Pelodiscus sinensis: one gene and its partners. The protein of the gene in region 3 purifies or fractionates together with the protein of the main gene of each other region. This does not show direct contact. Links are inferred from orthologs where the notes say so. Each region holds a gene or a part of one and is shown on either strand. Other genes may lie near its edges. The genes, in order: STK35, PDIK1L and CTDSPL2.

Region 1 (7,664 bases), on a different chromosome or scaffold from region 3:
GAAAAACTGCTGCAATTTTGGTTCTTGGTTGCAGTCTCTAGCTTAGATAGTGCAACACTAGACTGACTTGTTGGAACCCCTTATTTTTACTACAGTACAGTCCGTTTCTGGAGCAATAGTCTTCAGACTTTTTGGCCCATGGCCTGGACCATTCAACACAGACCCTTCCGCAGACCACCAGCCAACCACCCGTAATGACAAAATGGGTGCAGGAGCTGGGTGTGGGGTCTGGGAGGGAGGGTGCAGGAGCAGAGTGGAAGTGGGGGGTCTTGAAGGAGGGAGATGCAAGAACAAGCTGAGGGTGGGAGGATCTAATTGAGCTGCTAATTGAGCCCCACCCAGAGGTTTAGGGCTGCCATGCAGAGAGCTTTCTGGCTGGGGAGGGGCACACCCTCAGCAGCAGAAGCTCCCAGCTCCTGAAGGGAAGAGGACATAAGGAGGAGAGAGGCACATGGCTAGGATGGGAGGGGGGCAGGAGGGGAATTTGGAGCATGCAGTATGTGTCTGGGAGAGGAGATGTCTTATCAGAGGTCTGATTTACTGCAGCTTCCTGTGAGGAAACCTAGCACACTCCTCTAGCTTCCTGAGCTGGGAAAGAGGGAGCAGACTGCATGGGGTAGGTGGAGGAAATGGCAGGGGGCAGTGCTGGTGTCTGTGCAGTAAGGTGGGGATAGAGGAGATTTTGTTTGTTGTGTGTTAACTTGCCCCCATCTGGACTGCAAACAGCAAGAGCCAGACTGTCTGTCTCAGCACAGCAGCCATAGACTGCAGACATAGGACTCTCTCCTAGGCTGGGGCAGGATGTATTGGGGTGGTGCCAAAAATTCTGGTGAGTTAAAAGCTTGTAGGCTGCTTTTAAATACTGGAACAAAAGGCCTAGCTCATAATATGTGCGTGATTACATTTCAAACAAAGTTTACATAGGTGTTAATGGCTTGCGGTAAGAAAGAAAATTATTCTTTTAAGAGGTTTTTCAGTGTTGTAGATATCTGCAAACTCAGATCGTAATGATTTTTTAAAAAAAATCCCATGTCACTAGTTAATACATGGTAAATTGTTAAAACTGGAAGAACTTTACCATAGATCCAGTTTAATTTGTTTGGCCTTTCAACTGGAGTTGGATTCTGGACAAATACTCTGGGAGCTTCTACTCTGAGTTAGAGAGACACACACAAGGTGAAGGTTTCAAACCAGACCTTTTCTCTGTTTTATTTGCATAGCATGGATTCTAAACATTCCCCAGAGAAAGCATGTAAGCTTGAGTGAATGCCTTTTATTCTCCTTTCTAGTGTCAGTAAATATTGTATTAATATTGTCAAGGAGCGTGTGACCATTTCTAGTTGATTCATAGATTTGCTTAGCATCTTAAAGCTGTGCATATTTTTAGGCTTTTACTTAATGGACATGTCTTAGATGTATTTGCATAGCTATTTGCAGCATGCCCCATTTTGGTATGTTTACTAGCTTGAGTTGTTAGAAAAGACAATAATACATGTACTCCAAGGGTCGTGTTAGTTTTCTTTATTTGATTTCATACTAAATAAAACATTTTAAGCATTGCACCTTGTTAATTATCCCTTTTTTAATATATTGTCTTTCATACCTATGGACTGTTAAAAATATATATTTATACCTAGTTTTTTTGTTTTATTGGGACACACTGTACAGATATCTACATACAACCTCAATATTGGTGGTACACATAAGAAATTTCAACCTGCCCAAGGATGGAAAATGTTAGGGGGAATATTGGTTCTGGGCAGGAGCGAGGGGGCAGGAGCAGGGTGGGCATGTGGGGGCTCAGCACAAAGAGGGGTTCATGAAGAAGATGGGGTGCAAAGTCTGGCCATGAGGATGGGGGGGTACTAAGTCGGCTCCATACCCCTCCTCCCTGATCCCACTGGCTATGATTCTGGCCAATGAGAGCAGCAAGGAAAACTTCCAGACAAACAATTTCCTGTACTGACATTCCCCCAGCTGCTCCCTATCCAGCAAGCTGAATCCAGCCTGTGAGGCTCCTCCCCACCCCAGCAGGAAGCTAGTGCTGGCACCCCAGTCTCGTGGGGGAACGGGGCTAGAGCAACAGAGTGGTCTACCCACTGGGGGCAATGAGGGGGGGGCAAACCCAAAGACTATGGCCCACCTGCAAGAGGGTCGTGAACTACACTTTGAGACACAACTGCTTTAAATCATAAGCATTTTAAGGCATGGACCCAGGCTGAAATTTGCAAAGCCAACTAGGCATTTAGACACAGTCCCCATTGAAATGAGTTATGCCTCCAAATCCTATGTGTCTTAAAGAGTTCAGCCTCAGCCTTTCTGATAAAGCACCGCATGCATTCATGGCATTGCATAAAGATAACAAATGGACCAAAGCTGATATTTTTTCAGCCAAATTCTATGATCCCCTTTAAAAAATGGTGATTCAGATAAAATTGGACCGGCTGTGAATGACTTCTGGCTTTGGGTATTATCAAACTGTGACTTCCATAGCTCAGCATTTAACCAATAGTTTCTCCTCCATGCAGACTGAGACCCTCTCTGTGGGACAGCCCTGGAAGTGGTGTTGTGTCCAGAACTATTCATTAATGGCTTTGAGAAAGCAGTGTCTAGCAAGCTATGAGTGAGACAAAGCTATTTTAGACTAGTGCATGCTAAGGAGGATTTTGAGACAGTGCAGCTAAAATATAGGGTCTGTTATCCTCCTGCCACCTACCCCTTCCTTTTCAGGGTCTGGCCTGCTGCAGCCCACCCCTCCCCCTACACTGCCATCCACCTGCCACCCCCTCTTCATACCTCCATTCCACGGGTACGTCTAGACTACATGCCTCTGTCGCCAGAGGCATGTAGATTAGGCTACCAGACATAGGAAAATGAAGCGGCGATTTAAATAATCGCCGCTTCATTTAAATTTACATGGAATGGAGGTATGAAGAGGGGGTGGCAGGTGGATGGCAGTGTAGGGGGAGGGGTGGGCTGCAGCAGGCCAGACCCTGAAAAGGAAGGGGTAGGTGGCAGGAGGATGTAGGTGTGAATGGGGAACTCAAGGCTAGGAAGGAGTGTACAGTAGCAGCATGGGGGCACCATCAGAAGGCTGTGCAGCTGCAGACTGAAGTTGTTTGACTTGGGAGTGGCTATGCTGGTGCAGGTAATACATTGGGGGATGGGGGCTCTTCATTCTGCAGGATATGAATTAGGCAGGTGCAGTAATGAAGAAGCATGGGGATAGGATACTGGGGGCTTTGTACAGTTTGGTGGGGGTTGGTTGGGACATGGCTGTTGGTTGGGCGCGGCAGCTATGTAAATTTAAATGAAGCGGCGATTATTTAAATTGCCGCTTCATTTTACTATGTCGGGTAGCCTAATCTACATGCTTCTGGCGACAGAGGCATGTAGTCTAGACGTACCCCACTACAGCCCACTCCTCCATTTACTCCCATCACTCCCCCCCTCATCCCCCCCACTGCCCACCCCTCTCCCTCACCCCCCCACTGCCCGCCTCTTCCCCCTCCCACCCCTCCCCACTCACCCCCACTGCCCACCCCTCTCCCTCACCCTCCCCACTCACCCCCCCACTGCCCACCCCACTCCCCCTCCCACCCCTCCCCACTCACCCCCCCCACTGCCCACCCCTCTCCCTCACCCCTCCCCCCTCACCCCCCCCACTGCCCACCCCTCTCCTCCTCCCACCCCTCCCCGCTCACCCCCCACTGCCCACCCCCTCTCCCTCACCCTCCCCGCTCACCCCCCCACTGCCCACCCCTCTCCCCCTCCCACCCCTCCCCACTCACCCCCCCACTGCCCACCCCTCCCCCCCTCCCACCCCTCCCCGATCACCCCCCCCACTGCCCACCCCTCTCCCTCACCCCCTCCCCGCTCACCCCCCCACTGCCCACCCCTCTCCCCTCCCACCCCTCCCCGCTCACCCCCCACTGCCCACCCCTCCCCCCCCTCACCCCCCCCACTGCCCACCCCTCTCCCCCTCCCACCCCTCCCCGCTCACCCCCCACTGCCCACCTCTCCCCCTCCCACCCCTCCCCGCTCACCCCCCCACTGCCCACCCCTCCCCCCCCTCACCCCCCCCACTGCCCACCCCTCTCCTCCTCCCACCCCTCCCCGCTCACCCCCCACTGCCCACCCCTCCCCCCCCTCACCCCCTCCACTGCCCACCCCTCTCTCCCTCCCACCCCTCCCCGCTCACCCCCCCACTGCCCACCCCACCCCTCCCCCTCGGCCGGCCCGGCGGTTACATAAGCGGTTACGTAAGGGGCTACTGCGCCCCGACTCCGCTCCAGCAGCCCCCGCCGCTCAGCCGCATTGTCCGCGCGCAGCGCCCGGAGCCCGGCACCGCGCTCGGGGGGGGGGACTCACAGCAGCGGCGGCCCCTCAGCCCCCTGCGCCGCCCAGGGGCGGGCCCCGTAGCAGCAGCGACACCTCCCCCAGCCGAGCGGCGGCAGCTGCCCCCGGCCCAGCCACGGGGGCTTGTCAGGGGCAGGGGACAAGTAAGTGCGTTATTCCTCCACCCCCCTCCCCATGGTAAATAATGGACTCGCCCATCTCCCGGCGGCCAGCTAGGGAGTGTTTACACTCCAGGGGAGAAACCATTGGGCACCGGGGGGAAAGCCAGACACTGGGATGGCAGCTGAGCCAACGGCAGCGCTCGGAAAGGCTAGCAAGCCCCCCTCACTAGGGTTCCTAATTGGGGTTTTTCGAGCGGTGCGTGGAACAACGGCTCTTGTTTGTCTTGGGGGGCTTTTGGGTTGGACTCCCCCTTCTCGTCCCCCCTCTCGCCCCTGAATGGTTCGGCCTCCCTCGCCTCGGCCGCCGCGATTGGCTGAAGCCTTAAAGGGGCAGGCAGGGCGCGCTTTTCTGTCCGCCGACTCAGCCCCACGCCCCCCGTCTCCATCCTCGCCTGTCGGGCCGGTGTCGTTCGCAGCCGGCTCCGGTTGCTGGAGGCGGCCGATGCTCCCCGCGCCCCGGGCGCAGGGATGAGGAGTGGGGCTCGCGGGCGGCAGCAGCCAGGCCCCCCCGCGGCGCAGCAGCCATGGAAACGGCCGCGGCGGACGGCGGCCGCCGAGGGACACAAAGGCCCGCGGCGGAGCGGAGGCGGCGGCCCGAGCGGGAGCGGGGCCCGGCGCTGAGGGGCCCCATGGCGGCGGGCGGCGGGCCCGGGGCGCCGCGCTACAGCCTGGTGGCGGAGATCGGGCGCGGCTCCTACGGGGTGGTCTACGAGGCCGTGTCGGGCCGCAGCGGCGCGCGCCTGGCGGTCAAGCGGATCCGCTGCGACGCGCCCGAGAACGTGGAGCTGGCGCTGGCCGAGTTCTGGGCCCTGACCAGCCTGCGCCGCCGCCACCCCAACGTGGTGCGCTTCGAGGAGTGCGTCCTGCAGCGCGACGGGCTGGGCCAGCGCATGAGCCACGGCAACAAGCAGAGCCAGCTCTACCTGCGCCTGGTGGAGACCTCGCTGAAAGGTACCGCCCCCCGGACCCCCCTAGAGCCCCCCCGCCTGGGACCCCCCCTAGAGCCCCCCAGCCCCGGGACCCCCTCCATAGCCCCCCCAGCCAACTCTACCTGCGCCTGGTGGAGACCTCGCTGAAAGGTACCGCCCCCCCGGACCCCCCCTAGAGCCCCCCCAGCCCCGGGACCCCCCCTAGAGCCCCCCCAGCCAGCTCTACCTGCGCCTGGTGGAGACCTCGCTGAAAGGTACCGCCCCCCCGAGCCCCCCTAGAGCCCCCCCAGCCCCGGGACCCCCCCTAGAGCCCCCCCCGCCAGCTCTACCTGCGCCTGGTGGAGACCTCGCTGAAAGGTACCGCCCCCCTAGAGCCCCCCCAGCCCCGGGACCCCCCCTAGAGCCCCCCCAGCCAGCTCTACCTGCGCCTGGTGGAGACCTCGCTGAAAGGTACCGCCCCCCTAGAGCCCCCCCAGCCCCGGGACCCCCCCTAGAGCCCCCCCAGCCAGCTCTACCTGCGCCTGGTGGAGACCTCGCTGAAAGGTACCGCCCCCCCGAGCCCCCCTAGAGCCCCCCCCGCCAGCTCTACCTGCGCCTGGTGGAGACCTCGCTGAAAGGTACCGCCCCCCGGGTCCCCCTAGAGCCCCCCCGCCTGGGACCCCCCCTAGAGCCCCCCCAGCCCCGGGACCCCCCCCTAGAGCCCCCCCCGCCAACTCTACCTGCGCCTGGTGGAGACCTCGCTGAAAGGTACCGCCCCCCGGGCCCCCCTAGAGCCCCCCCAGCCCCGGGACCCCCCCTAGAGGCCCCCCCGCCAGCTCTACCTGCGCCTGGTGGAGACCTCGCTGAAAGGTACCGCCCCCCTAGAGCCCCCCCCCAGCCCCGGGACCCCCCCCTAGAGCCCCCCCAGCCAGCTCTACCTGCGCCTGGTGGAGACCTCGCTGAAAGGTACCGCCCCCCTAGAGCCCCCCCAGCCCCGGGACCCCCCTAGAGCCCCCCCATAACCCCCAACTCGGGACCCCCCCTAGAGCCCCCCCAGCCAGCTCTACCTGCGCCTGGTGGAGACCTCGCTGAAAGGTACCGCCCCCCTAGAGCCCCCCCCAGCCCCGGGACCCCCCCTAGAGCCCCCCCAGCCAGCTCTACCTGCGCCTGGTGGAGACCTCGCTGAAAGGTATTGCCCCCCTGGGACCCCACAGAGCCCCCCCGGACCGCCTCCATAGCCCCCCCCGGCTCTGGGAGCCCCCCTAACCCTCCTAACCCCCCCATAATCTCCCTAGCCAGCTCTACCTGCGCCTGGTGGGGACCTCGCTGAAAGGTACCTTGCTGAAAGGTTACCCCCTCCACAGCCCCCCTGCCCTGGGACCCCCCCATAATCCCCCTATCCCCCCCCAAGGCAGCTCTACCTGCGCCTGGTGGAGACCTCCCTGAAAGGTACCGCCCCCCCCGGACCGCCCCCATAGCCCCCCACCCCGGAACCCCCCGGCCCCGAGACCCCCCCATAGTCACCCTCCCCCGACCCTGGGACCCCCCCCATAGCCCTCCTAACCCCCCCAGCCAGCTCTGCCTGTGCCTGGTGGAGACCTCCCTGAAAGGTGTTCTCCCCCCCCCCTTGCCTGGGACCCCCACACGGCCCCCCCTGCGCCCTGGGACCCCCTCCCACAGCCCCCCAACCCTCCCAGCCAGTTCTACCTGAGCCTGGTGGAGACCTCCCTGAAAGGTACCGCCTCCCCCCTGCGCCCTGGGAGCCCCCCAAAGCCCACTCAGTCTGGGACCCCCCCAGCCAGTTCTATCTGTGCTTGGTAGAGACCTCCCTGAAAGATACTGCCTCCCTCCCACGCCTGGGACCCCCCCCCCCACAGCCCCTCCCGTGCCCGGGACCCCCCCCACAGCACTCCCTGACCCCCCCCGAGACAGCTCTACCTGCTCCTGGTGGAGACCTCCCTGAAAGGTACCCCCCCACAGCCCTCCTGACCTGGGACCGCCCCACAGCCCCCCCCCCCCCCGTGCTGTAGGACCGCCCCCCCAACCCTTCCAGCCAGCTCTACCTGCGCCTGGTGGAGACCTCCCTGAAATGTACCATCTGGAGACCCCCCCAGCTCCTCTAATCCCCCCCAGCCAGCTCTACCTGCACCTGGTGAAGACCTCCCTGAAAGGTATCCCCTGCCCTGAGACATGCCCCGCCACAGCTGCCCCCTCATAACCCCCAACCCTTGCACCT
Region 2 (7,406 bases), on a different chromosome or scaffold from region 3:
CTAGCGCCACAAAAGCCAGGGTTTTATTTTTCACATGTGCCCATTGACAGCTGCTGTGGCTATTCTCAGTCCTGCCTCCTTACCAGAGGATTTGCAGACTTTGGAAAAAGCTCCTGGTGACAGCATGGCCAGGATTAAACTGGGCACCGGCCCCTTCCAACACTGCGAGTCCCTTCTTTAAAGTTCTCCTATGCTGACAAAGCTAGGGTCAACTCACAGGGTAACAGGCTAGAATGATATTCCTGCAGGGTGGGGAACCGTTTTTGGGTCGAGGGCCACTGACGCTCAGAAATATCAGTCAGGGGCTGCACACAAGTGAGAAACAAACAAATCCACCCCTCACCAGCGTGGAATCCCCAATGCTGGGGGGAGGCCCTAGCCTCAGGAGCTGGATCCAGGAAAGCCAGGGGCCGCATGTGGCCTCCGAGCCTGGGCGTAATGCAACAGGAATGAAGAGTGCAAAGCTGAGAGGTGTCTGTTTCTGAGATCAGGAAGCATCCAGAGTAATTTGACTGGGGTGGGGAGGGGGCTGGACGTCACAGGGGAATGGTAATGAGAGAGGGAACTGGTCACCCGGGGTTTGCCCAGTCTAATCCAGCCCGAGCAGTTAGCAATTAACAGTCGTCGCCTTGGGTGGCTTTTTGGTGGCCTACGTGAAACGAGTTTGTGCTGAGACCCACCAATAAGCAGTTGCCCCCGTCCCAGCTGCACGGAAAAGTGGCTTTAAAGTTCTGAATTGCAACAAAACGTCAATATCACAAAAATGGTCCCGAAGTGAAAAGATGAAAAAGTGTTTGGGTCAATCCAAATATCCGGGTTTTGATCATTCCACGGTATTCCCGGGCAGGGCGGGGCTCTTCTGCAGGATCCCTGGCGCCAGCAGAACCGTGGCAGAGATGAAGAGGGTCATGCACACACAGAGAAAGAGCTTCTGCCTACGACTCTGGGGGGAAGCTGCTCCATCCGCATGCCTCGGGCACCAAGTCACAGCGCCGTACGACCACAGACCCCACGAGCCCCTTCGTGAGCCAAAGGGACTGCAGCACAGAGCGATGTGCTCCAGGGAGAGCAGGCAGAGATCAGATAGTCCAGGCCAGTTCCTGCTGTTAGCTGATGCTCTGAGCAGGGCGGATACACCCAGCATCAGCGAGCTGGGGGGTGGATATGGACTCCATTCACGCGTTGCACTAGTTCCGCTCCAACAGTGAAGCTGGTGGAACTTCACGGGGAGACGGAGAAGGCCATGCAGCCACGGCAGCAAGACTTGCAGGGTGGCCAAGAGACAGACGCCAGGTACCGGGAGGAGCAGAACCATGTGTTCAATTCACAGAGCAATGACTCATTTGACTCAGGAGCCCTCAATTTTCCTTCCCAGAGGGGGTTGTAACCCCACAGCCCGTCCCTGCAAGAGCCAGTCTCGCTCCATGCACCGTTCACTCACCTGCAGCTGCTTCTTTGAGCCAGCTACAGTTCCCCAGGCTTCCTCCTGGTGTCACCGGCTCCCACTCAAGCCCTTCTGGCCTGGGTTAGTCACATGAGCTTTGATCCCTCCTCCCATCCCAGTAGCTAGTCTGAAAGACTTTAAATATCCACAAACAGCTACAATTAAACACAAAGAGTTGACTTAAGGGAGGGATAGCTCAGTGGTTTGAGCATTGGCCTGCTAAACCCAGGGTGGTGAGTTTAATCCTTGTGGAGGCCATTTGGGGCAAAAATTCATCAGGGTGGTACTTGGTCCTGCTGTGAGGGCAGGGGACTGGACTCGATGACCTTTCAAGGTCCCTTCCAGTTCTAGGAGATTGGCAATTTAAGATCTTCCCCTTTTGCAATTGAAGGGCCTGCCTGTAATCCACTTGGCCACTAGATGTCAATACAGTCTCACTCTGGGAACCTGCAGTGCTGAAAAGGGCACTAGCTGAAGATTTACAGTATTTCCTTATTACTGGTACCAGTAGACTAACTTACAGTTGCAAACTCCCGCCCAGCCCTCTGTCCCATTGAAGTTAAAGCTCAGAATGCTTGCTTATACTTTATGGCAAGGGTGTCGTTATCGTTTATATCGGGTCAATACTTTACTGATAGATGCTGCAAATATGTCAATGTGATGAGTAGGTGGATGGCTGCTGAGTTCATTGGTGGTAGGTGCAATTGTACAAACCATTTATAAATGTACCCTTAAAATAACGTAAGAAGATAAAAATGCCCAGACTGGCTCAGATTAAAGGTCCATCCAGCTCAGTGTCCTGGCAGCCAACAGTAGCCAGTGCCAGGGGCCCCAGAGGGAGGGAACAGAACAGAGAACCATGAAGTGATCCCTCTCCCATCACCCATTCCCAGCCTTTGACAAACAGGCCAGGGGCACCATCCCTACCCGTCCTGGCTAACAGCCACCAATGGGCCTAACCTCCATGAATTTATCTAATTCTTTTTTTAACCCTGTTAAAGTCCTAGTCTTCACCACATCTTCTGGCGAGGAGTTCCACAGGTTGACTGTGCGCTGAGTGAAGAAAAACTTCCTTTTGTTTGTTTTAAACCTGCTGCCTATTGATTTCTTTTGGTGACCCCTAGTTCTTATGTTATGGGAACAAGAAAATAACTTTTCCTTATTTGTTTCTCCATATCTGTCATGATTGTATAGACCTCTGTCCTATCCCCCCTTAGTCTCCCCTTTTCTAAACTGAAAATCCCAGTCTTTTTAATCTCTCTTCATCGAGTGTGATCTCTTAAACACCTGCATACAGATAGATTATGAAGTGACTGCTGCAACATGAACCCCTTTTCAGCATTGGCTACCTAACTCTCCCCATCAATAGACTCGAACAGTACAGTGGCAAATGTGGAGGGACAGAGTGTGGCTTAACTAGATTAGGGAATTATCCGATCTCTATTGTACACTCTTTCTGCCTCCCTTAATGCCATCAATGCACTGATACTGTCTGATAGCTACTATTGCGAGCCTAACGGCCAAATTAACATACCACACAAAATAAATGCTGACTGAGTTAATCAGACAGGCTTCATCTTACGGCAAAAAAAAAGTTAAAAAAAAATCTAAAGAGTAAGATGTTACTTCCACACAATAAAAGTGGGCACCCTGTACTCTGTACTAGACTGTCCATACTGGGACCTCGGTGCAGGGCCCTTCCACTGTTTTTCCTAGGCAGGTGCTTGAGAATGTTAATGGGTGTGAGTGTGTCTGAATGTTAATGGGTGTGAGTTGTGGGTGTGTGCAATGAACACTGATCCCTGGCCCAGTCCATGTGAGAGTGTTATAGGAAGATTGACACCTGACCGTCTTGTGCTATGAAGTCCAGGGGCACTAAACATGTATGTGCAAGTGGTGCCTTTGCTCCCACATTGATTTGGGATCAAGAAGATGGGGCCTCAGGTGGCTGCCATAGCTTCTGAACTGCATGTCTTGCAGTGGCTAGTATGAGAGAGACACCACATAGTCAGGGAGTGTGTCCACACACTTCCCAGCAGGGAAAAAATGCAGACATGTCCCTTTAAGGGAAGATACCAATAGCCCTCCATCCTCTAGACAAGAGGGGGGGAAGGATCTTACCAAATGCTTGCATCCTTCAACGTGCTTGCAGTTCCCTAAAAGGCATGTCCCCATCACACAGTGACAAGGGATAACAAAAGGTGCAGTCCTCCTCCCTGGGTGGCAACCAATAAGCGACAGTCTAATGGGGGCTGCTTTGTTTTTTTTAAAAAAAGCGAAATTATGATTTTGTAATGACAAAGATCTAATTGCGGACGATAAAAAAATGAGAAATGCCTTAAAATTCAGCAGGACACTCAGCAGCTAGGAGGGACAGGCACGGTAGGTGTTTGCACAGGGGGGCTGCAGCAAGCAGGAGGCAGCAGCGTCCCCTGGGGGAAGTGGGTGGGGGAGGGCTCGGGCCAGTCCTGTGCAATTCAACCCATTACGACCGAAGAGGGCTGCACGTTGGGTTTGCACCTGGGGTGTTGATACGAGCTGCGTGGCCGCACAGCCCCCGCCCCCCTCTCCCAGCTGCGCGAGGTGCCCCCCCCCCCCATTTGAGCTGCATCCATGGCGCAGCACCCCCCACTGCATCCTACCGGGGGCTACACGAACCCGCCTCCCCCCATTCCAGCTGCTTTAAATGGGGCAGCCTCATTGCCGGGCCACTCTGGGAGCTGCACCCATGGTGCATCCTTCCCCTCCCCCCTCCCACGCATGGAACCGAGGGGGAGCATCCCACGCGGCAAACAGAGGCGCGAGCTCCCCGGGAAAGTCCCGCCCCGTGCGCATCCGGCCCCGGCCAATCAGAAGCGGCGGCGCGCGCCACAAAGCAGGCGCGGGGGCTCGCCCGCCCTTTCAGCCAATGGGGAAGCGGCCAGGGCGGCGCGCGCGCGGGAGGGGAGCCCCGGCGGCGGCGGGGGCGCGCGGAGGGGGGTGTGTCGGCGCCCGGAGTGGGGGAGGGGGGGAAGAGAACCCTATAATGGCGGCCGGGAGGAGCGCGCGCGGCGCTGCTGAGGTAACGCGGAGGCGGCCGGGAGCCCCGCGGGCCCGGGGCTGCAGCGCGGCCTGAGGGGAGGGGCCCCTGGCGCGAGGGAAACCCTGGCGGGAGGGGAAGCTGCGTCCCCCGCTGTCAAGCTGAGGGAGGGGACTGGGGGGGCGGGGCTGAGGGGGACGGATGGGGTGGGGGCGGGGCTGGGCTGAGGAGAAGGGGGGTGGGCTGGGGGGGCGGGGCTGAGGAGAGAGGATGGGGCGGGGCTGTGCTGAGGAGAAAAGGGGGGTTGGGGGGGGAGGCCTCACCTGCTGGTGCCTGGTTTGTGGGGCCTCGCCTGCTGGGGGGGGGATTTTCCTGATGCTCCCCCCTTGTCCCGGAGGGGGGGGCAGCTCTGGCCTCCAGGGAGGACTGGAGGCCTGGCCTGGAACCCTGCTCATGGGGGGGGGTGCAGTATAACGCGCCACTCTCCCCCCCCCCCCTATTTTTTCCAGGACTTGATTTAAATGTTGGGGCAGCCCATGGGCTGGAGACACCTCAGTAAAAGTCATTTAAGCCACCAGTCCCTCAGCACCCCCTTCCTTTAGGGGTCTGCTGCTCTGTGCCGAGAGCCCTCCTGGAGGAGCGGGGTAGAAACTGTGAAATGTGCCACTACAAAATATACAGGGGGAGCCTTCTACCCCCCCCAAAGCCAATCAATGTCCAGGCCCTGCTCCTATAGCCTAAAGAACCAGAACCATGGAACGGGCACGTTTTGGGGTTTCCTGTGTGGGTCAGTTTTCACCATCATTTCTGTTAACCTCACCGCTGATGGTTAACTGGGTTACTGCTTATTTAGGAATCTGACAGAGTGGGCTTAAGCGCATGGAAAGCTTATGCCCAAATAAATGGGTTAGTCTTTAAGGTGCGACAGGACTTCCTTGTGTTTGCTGAAACAGACTAACAGTTACCCCTCTTCACAGTCTGTCTTCTGGGATGTGAGGTTTGCTTAGATTAGATTATTGTATAGGCTCTGATGCCTTGTGAGAGGAGGGGCTTGTTGAATTTGGAAATCTCTTCCCCCCCCCCCCCCCCCAACTCTTTAGGACAATGGGGAAGGACAGGTGGCAGCCTTTTATTTACCTATAGACCTGCTTCTGTGTAAACTGATGTTTCAAAGGTAAATTGTGCTCCCTACTGTTTGAGCCTGCAATGACCATAGCTTTCTTTCACAACTACACTAATTGTATGTAGTTTTTTGACTATCCATACTTAATGCCTCTTTTGTGTGCGAGTGCCTTTGTTTTTGTATGTTCTTGTTAATTTACCTTAGCATTTAGTCTGCACTGTTCTCCATATGCTTATATCACAATATAGGAGCAGGTTGAATAAATATTACTATCTGAATCTCACGTTGTACTGGCATTTCTGTGGGGAATTTATATTTAAATGCATTCAGAATTGTAAACTCACATAAAAGATGTTGCTGCCACATCTCCATATATCTGCACTAATGGTGTCATGAGACGGATATCCATTATTTCTTTTATGGTGCACGCTTTGTAGGTACTTGAAAGTTGATTGATAGTTTTGCTTCAGCGAAGTAGTGTTTAGTGAATGGTTTCCTGTGGTAAATACAACTTGCCTGCGATACTAACTTCTAAAATCATTTTCATTCTAATACCCTGACTTGCTCGTTTTCTATTTAGTCCTTTGTTTTTTTGCAAGTCATTCCACTTGGCCAGTGATGATAGCCAAAGTTTATTTTCTGTCTATTTAGTGTTCCTTTCTGGCTTGGTTGCATTAGTGAGTAATGTTGTATTTTCTGGTATGTAACCTTGCAAAGAAGATCTTGGGTATGTTCCCATTTTTTAAAATATGAACATACTAGTTTTAGTCCTTCCTCCTTCCTTTCATAATGAAACTAGAATTTGAATGTAAACAATGTAGAATGTTTTTAAATATCTTGCCCAGTTTAAACTGACTGTTCAGATTGTATTTAATTTTTATAAATTAAAAACATTTTTTAAATACTCCTTTACCTTGGTACTAGAAAACCATTTAATAAACTACACCATAAAACATTTACCCATGCTGTCTGTGACTTTCCACTTAATGTAGTTTGAAACAGTGCGTAAGATCCACTAAGTATGTGCTTCTGCTAGTACCTTTACTGGAAAATGCTATAAAATGTGGGGAAAGGAAGCACTGTACTCCACTGATACTGAACAAAATGTTAAAGTAAAAGATGCTGTGAGATGTAACAGTTTTAGCCTGACCTAATGCAAGTGAAAGCTAGAAATGTTGTGGGCTTGAACTGTGAACATGTTATGATAAATGCTGGCTAACATTATATCACTAGCCTAAAGTGTAACACTTGAAAATCCTTCTTGGCGTTAATTGTGGCTTTACTGAACAAGTTTAATGCTTCTTCATATTGGTAACATCTGAAAATAATGGCTCATTACAATCTTATTTAAGTTTATTGAATGGAATCCTGATTTTAAGCACAGTGATTAGCCCAAATGATACTTAATTAACTGATTCAGAGAGGAAAAGCAGATCAGTCATTATTCATAGGATTTTTTGTCATGTGATGTTTTTTTCCCCCCTCCCCAGAACCCTTGGCCTTGAAGATGGTGAGTAGCCAGCCAAAGTACGATCTAATACGGGAGGTTGGACGTGGTAGTTACGGTGTGGTGTATGAAGCACTTGTCAGGAAGACCTCTGCACGGGTTGCAGTGAAAAAAATTCGGTGCCATGCTCCAGAGAATGTGGAACTAGCGTTACGTGAGTTCTGGGCACTTAGTAGTATCAAGAGCCAGCATCCAAATGTTATCCATCTGGAGGAGTGCATCTTGCAGAAAGATGGTATGGTACAGAAGATGTCACATGGTTCTAGTTCTTCCCTCTATTTACAGGTATGCGAAGGAGGATGGGAATAATTTT
Region 3 (7,553 bases):
TGAAATTATTGTAAAGAACAAAATTATCAAGACCATAAATCATTAGTTCTTAACCAGCAATACATGTATTCTGGGGATACACAAAAGTCTTCTAGGGGGGTCCATCAACTCATCTAGATATTTGCCTAATTTTATAACAGGTTACTACAAAGTGCTAGCAAAGCCACTACAGGCAGTTCCCGGATTACGTACAAGATAGGGACTGTAGGTTTGTTCTTAAGTTGAATCTGTATGTAAGTCGGAACTGGCATCAGCCGCTGCTGAAACTGATCAGTTTCAACTGCGGCTGAATCTGGACGCCAGTTCTGACTTACATACAGATTCCACTTAAGAAACCCAGGTGTCCCCAAGTCAGCTGCTGCTGAAACTGATCAGCTGCTGATTCCAGGAAGCCTGGGGCAGAGCAACTCTGCCTCGGGCTTCCTGTAGTCAGCCGCTGGTCAGTTTCAGCAGCGGCTGACTTGGGGACGCCTGGGGCAGAGCAGCTGGGGTGCTGCTGGGTTGCTCCAGTAGCGCGGCTCCTCGGCGCTACTGGAGCAACCCAGCAGCACCCCAGCTGCTCTGCCCCAGGCGTCCTGATTCAGCTGCTGCTGAAACTGACCAGCAGCGGCTGAATCAGGACGCCTGGGGCAGAGCAGCTGGGGTGCTGCCGGGTTGGTCCAGAGCGACGCTGCGGGACCAACCCGGCAGCCCCCAGCTGCTCTACCCCAGGGGTAGGCAAGAAAAGCCTGGTCTGCTGGGGGGGGGCACTAGCTGCACCCCCCCAGCAGACCAGGGAGATGGAGAGCAAAGCCTTGGAGCACGCCCGCAGCGGGACAGCCCAGGCGTGCCACGGCTGTCCCACTGCGGGCGTGCTCCGAGGCTTTGCTCCCCATCTCCCTGGTCTGCTGGTCGGGAGACGGGGAGCAAAGCCGCGGAGCACGCTCTCAGGGGGACAGCTCAAGCGCGCCCGGGCTGTCCCGCTGCGGGCGTGCTCCAAGGCTTTGCTCCCCGTCTCTCTGCAGACCAGGGAGACGGGGAGCAGCTTTTCTCGCCCCGGAGGACGGGGGCGGCGGACTGCGGCGCATCTGGGCGTCCCGCCGCTCCCGTCCTCTGGGGCGAGAAAAGCCCCGTTCGTAACTGCGGATCTGACATAAGTCGGATCCGCGTAACTCGGGGACTGCCTGTACAAGCTAAAATTGCATACAATGGCTTATTTGTATTGCTCTATAAACTACACACTAAAATGTAATAATATTTCTATTCTAATTTATTTTTATAATTACAGTATAACGTAAATATGAGAAAATGAGCAATTTTTCAGTTATAGTGGATTATGTCTTTTGAATTTTGATGTCTGATTTTGTAAGCAAGTAGTTTTTAGTGAGGTGAATCTTGGGGTCTGGAAAGACAAATTAACAACCTGAAAGGGATACAGTTAATCTGGAAAGGCTGAGAGCCACTGGTCTAGCCCAGTTCATTTATTTTAATGGCTTATCAAACTCCTCTAACTAAGCTTTAAATGTAAGAATCTATATAAACTTTTTTTTCACTGTTGAGAATACAAAAAATACCAGCAAACATGTACAGCAACAAACTTTGCAGCCGCTCACACACCCTCACTACATATGCGGGGGGGGGGGGGGGGAGAACAGGAGTTATACTGCTGTCAGACTCTGTCAAAATGAATGATGTATTGGGTCTACAGCACCTTCCTCCCAGGAGAGTTCCAAAGACTTTCACAGGTTAAGTGCACCAAGATATTTGCTATACATAGGGTTTTTGCTGCAATGGAGCTATACACAGAAACGTTCACTATTGTCACAAGCAGAGTAGGCCCCAACCACCTGTATATTCTGACAGCAGCTTCTGGACTAAACATTTTACTTTTGCCTCCCCAGTGTGGTCAAGCCAACAAACACCGTGCTCTTTTCTAATTTCAGTAGGAATAGGATCTGTTGTCCAAACATTGCCAGTAACCTAAAAAACACCTCCTATAAACTGTTTCTTCCCCCCCCCCCCAGAAACAGCAAAACACTATCCCCAGCCACATTAAACCAATTTTCTACTCAGAGTCAATAGCAAAACCAATGCATTCCCTCCTAAGAAATCTTCACTACAGCATATCAACAAAATATTGTTTTTCCCAGTCTTCTTAGTAACCTAAGATGTCCTCCTTTATCCATAAATTGTCCTCACCCTCCTGCTCAGAACCTACATAGCCCTCCTAGACTTTAGGCTTTGTCTTCACTAGGGGAAAATTGTGTATTCTTTACTCAATTAACTCAATGTAAAATCCTAATGAAAATATTGAAATGTATAGTTTTTACCCTAGTTAGCAGGTTGAATTAAAAGCTATGTTTTCATGACCAAAAGATTTTTTTTGTAGAAAGGAGGGCAACTAGTTATCGCACTGTAAACTCCTAGACTGGCATGATGTTGCGCAAAAGATTTGCTTTGCACAAAAGCATCCGTGCCAGTGTAGACGCTCTCTTGTGCAAGAAAGCTCCCATGACCAATTTAGCCATTGGGCTTTCTTGCGCGAGAAATTAATGTGGCTGTCTACACTGGCCCTCTTGCGCAAGAATACTTGCGCAAGAGGGCTTATCCCTGAGCGGAAGCGTCAGAGTATTTGTGCAAGAACCACTGATTTTATACATTACAAAGTCAGTGTTCTTGCGCAAATACTCACGGCCAGTGTAGACAGGCAGCAAGATTTTGTGCAAAAGCAATTGCTTTTGCGCAAAATCATGCCAGTCTAGACGCAGCCCTAGTGAAGAAAAGAATTGAGGCTGTGTCTACACTTGCACTTGCTTGACAAAACTTATATCCCTCACAGAATACTAGAACTGGAAAGTACTGGGGGGGGGGATGATAGCTTAGTGGCTTGAGCATTGGCCTGTTAAACCCAGGGTTGTGAGCTCAATTCTTGAGGCCATTTGGGGCAAAAATTGTCAGCAATGGTACTTGGTCCTGCTATGAAGGCAGGGGACTGGACCTGATGACCTGTCAAGGTTCCTTCCACTTCTAGAAGATAAGCAATCTCCATTCATTTGAAAATAATTTACCTTAACTAACTCATTAAAACCCTTTTTTTCTAGCAAAGTTAAGGCCTGTAAACAGTATCCTCAATCTGCTCACCTCATTATTTTCTCCAGTCTCTCTACAGCATCCTCCTATCACTAAAGTTTGCCTTGTTTGTCCCACTTGTTGCAGCTCTAGCGATGAGAGTTCCTATGTTGACAGGGGATTTTCACTACTGTATTGCTTGCTCCTCCTATCAGCAGTAAGCCAGGCTTCTGTCTTGACTGCGCCTGTCAGTACTAGCACTGCCACTCACTACATTTCACCTAAGGGAACTGGGGAAAGGGCTGCATACCAGCCCAGACCTGACCTCTGTGTAAATTCAAAAGCTCCTCTCACCCACAGAAATTGGTCCAATAAAAGATATTACCTCTCCCAGGTTGTGTCTCTAATATGCCCACCCACATATTTATGTCATACTCATCACAATGGAGTCTGAACCTCACAGTGCCAGAGTATGAGTCCCCCACTCATTATGGTGTAAGGCACTGCTGACCCAGGCCTTCTCCAGTGTGAGGCATCCTCCTTACAGCCCTCCCTCCCAGTGTGAGGTGCCCCCCCCACTCACGTGCCCCTACCCGTGTGAGGTGCCCCTGCCACTCACAACCCTCCCCTCCACTGTGAGGCAAAAAAGCCCTCACAGTCCTCACCCATGACACCCCTTCCCAGCTCTCCCCCCCAACTTCATCCTGGTGTGAGGAGCCTCCTGACCCACGATCCACTCCTTTCCCAGTGAGAGGCACCCCCCACTCACAGCCTGCCAACCCCATCAGTGCCAGGCAACCAAACCCCTCCCAGTGTGATGCCCCCTCACGGCCTGTAGACAGCTCCCCCCCCACGAACCCTCCCAGTGTGGGGCAGCCCCTCTCAGCTAGCCCCCCCCCGTGTGATGCCCCTCTCAGCTAGCCCCCCCCGTGTGATGCCCCTCACAGCTAGCCCCCCCCGTGTGATGCCCCTCTCAGCTAGCCCCCCCGTGTGATGCCCCTCACAGCTAGCCCCCCCCCCGTGTGATGCCCCTCACAGCTAGCCCCCCCCCCCGTGTGATGCCCCTCTCAGCTAGCCCCCCCCGTGTGATGCCCCTCACAGCTAGCCCCCCCCGTGTGATGCCCCTCTCAGCTAGCCCCCCCGTGTGATGCCCCTCACAGCTAGCCCCCCCCCCGTGTGATGCCCCTCACAGCTAGCCCCCCCCCGTGTGATGCCCCTCTCAGCTAGCCCCCCCGTGTGATGCCCCTCACAGCTAGCCCCCCCCCCCGTGTGATGCCCCTCACAGCCCCCCCCCCGTGAGGCAACGCACCTCACGGCCCCCGCCCACTGTGAGGCAGCCCCGTTGAGGCCAGCGCTCCCCAGTGAGCCCCCCCCCCCCGCGTGAGGCCTCCCGCGCGAGGCGCCCTCGCTGGCAGCTCCCCGCCGCGCGCGCCGCCCGCGGGCCGAGCGACCCCTGGCCCCCCCCGGGCGCTGTCCGCCGCGCGAGGCCCCGCTCCTCCCCGGCGCTGTCCCGACCCCCTCCCCGGCCGGGCTGCGCCTGCGCGGCGGCCCCTCTCCCATCCGGGTCCCTCCGTGCGGTGTAGCAGGTCGGTAGGCGGGAAATGGCGACTGGCTGCTGAGCGGCTGCGGAGCCCCGGCGGCGGTGTAAACACAGCGGCGCCCGCCCGGCCTGGCCGCCGGGGCCCGGGACACCGGGGCCCGCCTCCTCGGCACCCCGCACCCACAGGTACCTGACACCCCCTCCCAGCCAGCGCGGGGTCGCGCCCGGGATCGGGGAGCCAGGGGGGCTCCCTCCCGAAGTGGCCCCGGAGGCGCCCCCTCTCCGGGCCTGGCCCTGCCTGCGGGGCGGGCTCCCCTCGTGGAAAGCCGCCCCCGACGGGGGTCCCCTGTGCCGGGCGTGAGGAGACACCGCCGCGCCGGGCTCCTGCCGTCCCTCCCCACCGCCGAGACCACTCGGCACAGCCCCCTTCCGAGAGGGGCCCCGGCCCCCCCCGCCGCGCCCCCATGTGCCGGGGCAGGGCGCTGGGGGGCTGTCACCTCCCGCCCGACACCCCCAGCTCCCCCCTCAGGCCTAGGCCTGTGGTGAGACGACTCCGCCTAGAATCCCAGCTGCCTCCCCCATCTCCGGGTGCCCCGGGTTATTGGGGGCGTGGGGGGTAATGCTCTGACTTGGGCGCTGCCGGGGTGTCCTGCGGGGGACCCCCTGCTGCCGCTGGCTTTTCTGCATCCCAAGTTGGGTTTGTTTAGGGGGCGTAGCTCTCTTGCCTGCCTCTGAGTCCATGTTACACACAAACACGCGCGCACACACGGGGAAGTGTGGGGAGCGCAGCACAGGATATGCCTGTTGCTGCCTCTTGTTGCAGTTACAGTGGGGAGTGAAGCACTGGACACCGCTGAGGGGCTCGTTCTTACGGTGATCGCTCGGTAGCCTGGCATGAGCCCGTCCTGGGCTGAAGGATGTTGGGGAACTCTGTTCCTGTGCATGCCTGTTGCTGGCTCTTACTGCGGAGACATTGGGGAGTCGTGCCTGCTCTTGAATCTAATGGGGTGTACAGTGACCAATATGCTTCTTGCTGTCTCTATTGGTAATGATCATGGAGAACATAACCTTGGATGTGCTTGTTTCTGACAATGACAGGCATAATATTGGGGAGAGTGACAGTGAACATTCCTGTCGCTGACTAGAGTGATGATATTGGTTGGAGTGGTAGCCTTGTGGGGGATGCCACATTGGATGTGTCTCACTCACGATGATAATATTGGGGACCACTGCAGATGATGTCCCCATCACTGAGTTGGGTTGTATCATAATATTGGGTTGCATTGCTACACTGAATGTGTCAGTTGTTCACTTCTACAGTATTGGAGAGTGTAGCAGTGGGTTTGCTTGTTGCTCACTTTTACAAGAATATTTGGGACTGCGTCATAGAATGGGTCCAGTAGTCATTTTTGTAACAATGTTGGTGGGCTCTGTATCAGAGCTATCACTTCGTTTATCCAAAGAAATACCAAAGAATGCAGCATGGAAGGTATTTGTTCCCTTCATAATGATGATTTTGGGGGATGTAGTACAGTACCTGTTTTGCTCTGTTTTATTATGATATTTGGGTTCACAGCTTCCCTTATGTTTATGGTTCATTTTTAAAAGAATACTGAGGATCAACTGGAGAATATGCCTGTTTCTTTTTGATGATTATAGAGTACTTTCCACTCATAGTACTGTGGTCTATGAAAGGATCTCAAAGCACTTTGCATTAATTAATACATTATTTTTCTGTTGCCTCAGGCAAGTCACTTAACATCTTTTCTGGTTTCCCCATCTATAAAATTGGAACATTAATACCTCACAGGGGTGTTGTGAGGATTAATGAGTTAATGTTTGTGAAGGGCTGTGAAGTTGAAAAGACCTATATAAATGTTGGGTATTATTATTATTAAAGCGTCATGACACATTGAGTCAAGATAGTTGTATTGTACCTGTTTTAGACATGGCTTAACTGAGGCGTAGAGATTATGACTTAAACAGAATTACACATTGAATATTTAACAGTGGCAGCCGTAATTATTACATGCTGTAAGCACTAGAGAACACCACTACTTTTTTACTTCTATCAAATGGGTATACTGTATTTTCTCAGATGTTATTTTCCCTGGGAAGCGTCATGATTTTGGTGATGCTATTTTGTTTTACTTAGTTTTGGTTTTCCACATATGTCTTACCCATTTGTAGACTTTAAAAGTATCATGGCACAGTTTGTAAAAATTAGAGTTGTGTGCCCCAGGGTTTTGGACAAATTCAGGTAATTACATTTAGCCTCTCTCAATTCTGTTATTCCTGCCAGGGTATTTACACTGTATAAAACATTCTTCACTTTCATAAAGTATTGTGTGGCGTCCTGGTTTGACTTCAGGGATACAGAATAAAGTTCCTAATCATTACTGTGTTCTGCCTCAGGTATGACTGCATTTCAGAGATTTGCCTTTAGTATCCCTTTCCTGCCCCGCACAGGTTTTCAGAGTTTTAATGTTTGTAATATTATTGGAAATCTCTTGTTTAAGTGTAGTACAGAAGTTAAGAATATTATTTTATAAATGCCAGTGCATTTCAGTGATCTAAAGGTAACTTTACTTCAGCAGAGTGTACATTTCAAGATGAAACAAGCTACTGTGTGAAAATGTCTTACTTTATTTTCCAAAAGAATGACATGATGACACAGCTTATTTTCGGAATAGCCAAGCTGAGTGGTGTTCTTTGTTTCCTTTTTAATTACATGGTGCTCTTCAGTCATTTACACCCTTAATTTTTACTATGTTTGTCAGTAGCAGTCTTATTCATGATTCATATTAGTACTTACTTCTTTTCTTGACACAAGTTACCCCAATTAAGGTTGTGACACTAATAAAAGAAAGGAAATATAAAATTAAGACTGAGGCCTGTTCTATTGTAATTTGTAATTAATGAAGCACAATTTATTTTATGTATAAAGGAAATCACTGTTACGGGA

The links.
Region 1: the proteins of CTDSPL2 (region 3) and STK35 purify together in Homo sapiens (affinity purification with mass spectrometry; 3 studies listed by BioGRID and IntAct, counting the BioPlex papers as one, with this or other methods). This does not show direct contact. The link is inferred for Pelodiscus sinensis from reciprocal best matches to the Homo sapiens genes CTDSPL2 and STK35.
Region 2: the proteins of CTDSPL2 (region 3) and PDIK1L purify together in Homo sapiens (affinity purification with mass spectrometry; 4 studies listed by BioGRID and IntAct, counting the BioPlex papers as one, with this or other methods). This does not show direct contact. The link is inferred for Pelodiscus sinensis from reciprocal best matches to the Homo sapiens genes CTDSPL2 and PDIK1L.

What each region holds. Positions count from the first base shown.
Region 1 is NC_134728.1:3,043,502-3,051,165, forward strand, and holds the start of STK35 (serine/threonine-protein kinase 35), read left to right. Parts: upstream 1-4,604; 5' UTR 4,605-5,044; coding exon 5,045-5,471; intron 5,472-7,664.
Region 2 is NC_134735.1:1,689,168-1,696,573, forward strand, and holds the start of PDIK1L (serine/threonine-protein kinase PDIK1L), read left to right. Parts: upstream 1-4,378; 5' UTR 4,379-4,505; intron 4,506-5,563; 5' UTR 5,564-5,637; intron 5,638-7,076; 5' UTR 7,077-7,093; coding exon 7,094-7,378; intron 7,379-7,406.
Region 3 is NC_134724.1:772,560-780,112, forward strand, and holds the start of CTDSPL2 (CTD small phosphatase-like protein 2), read left to right. Parts: upstream 1-4,479; 5' UTR 4,480-4,774; intron 4,775-7,553. UniProt on the Homo sapiens protein: Probable phosphatase.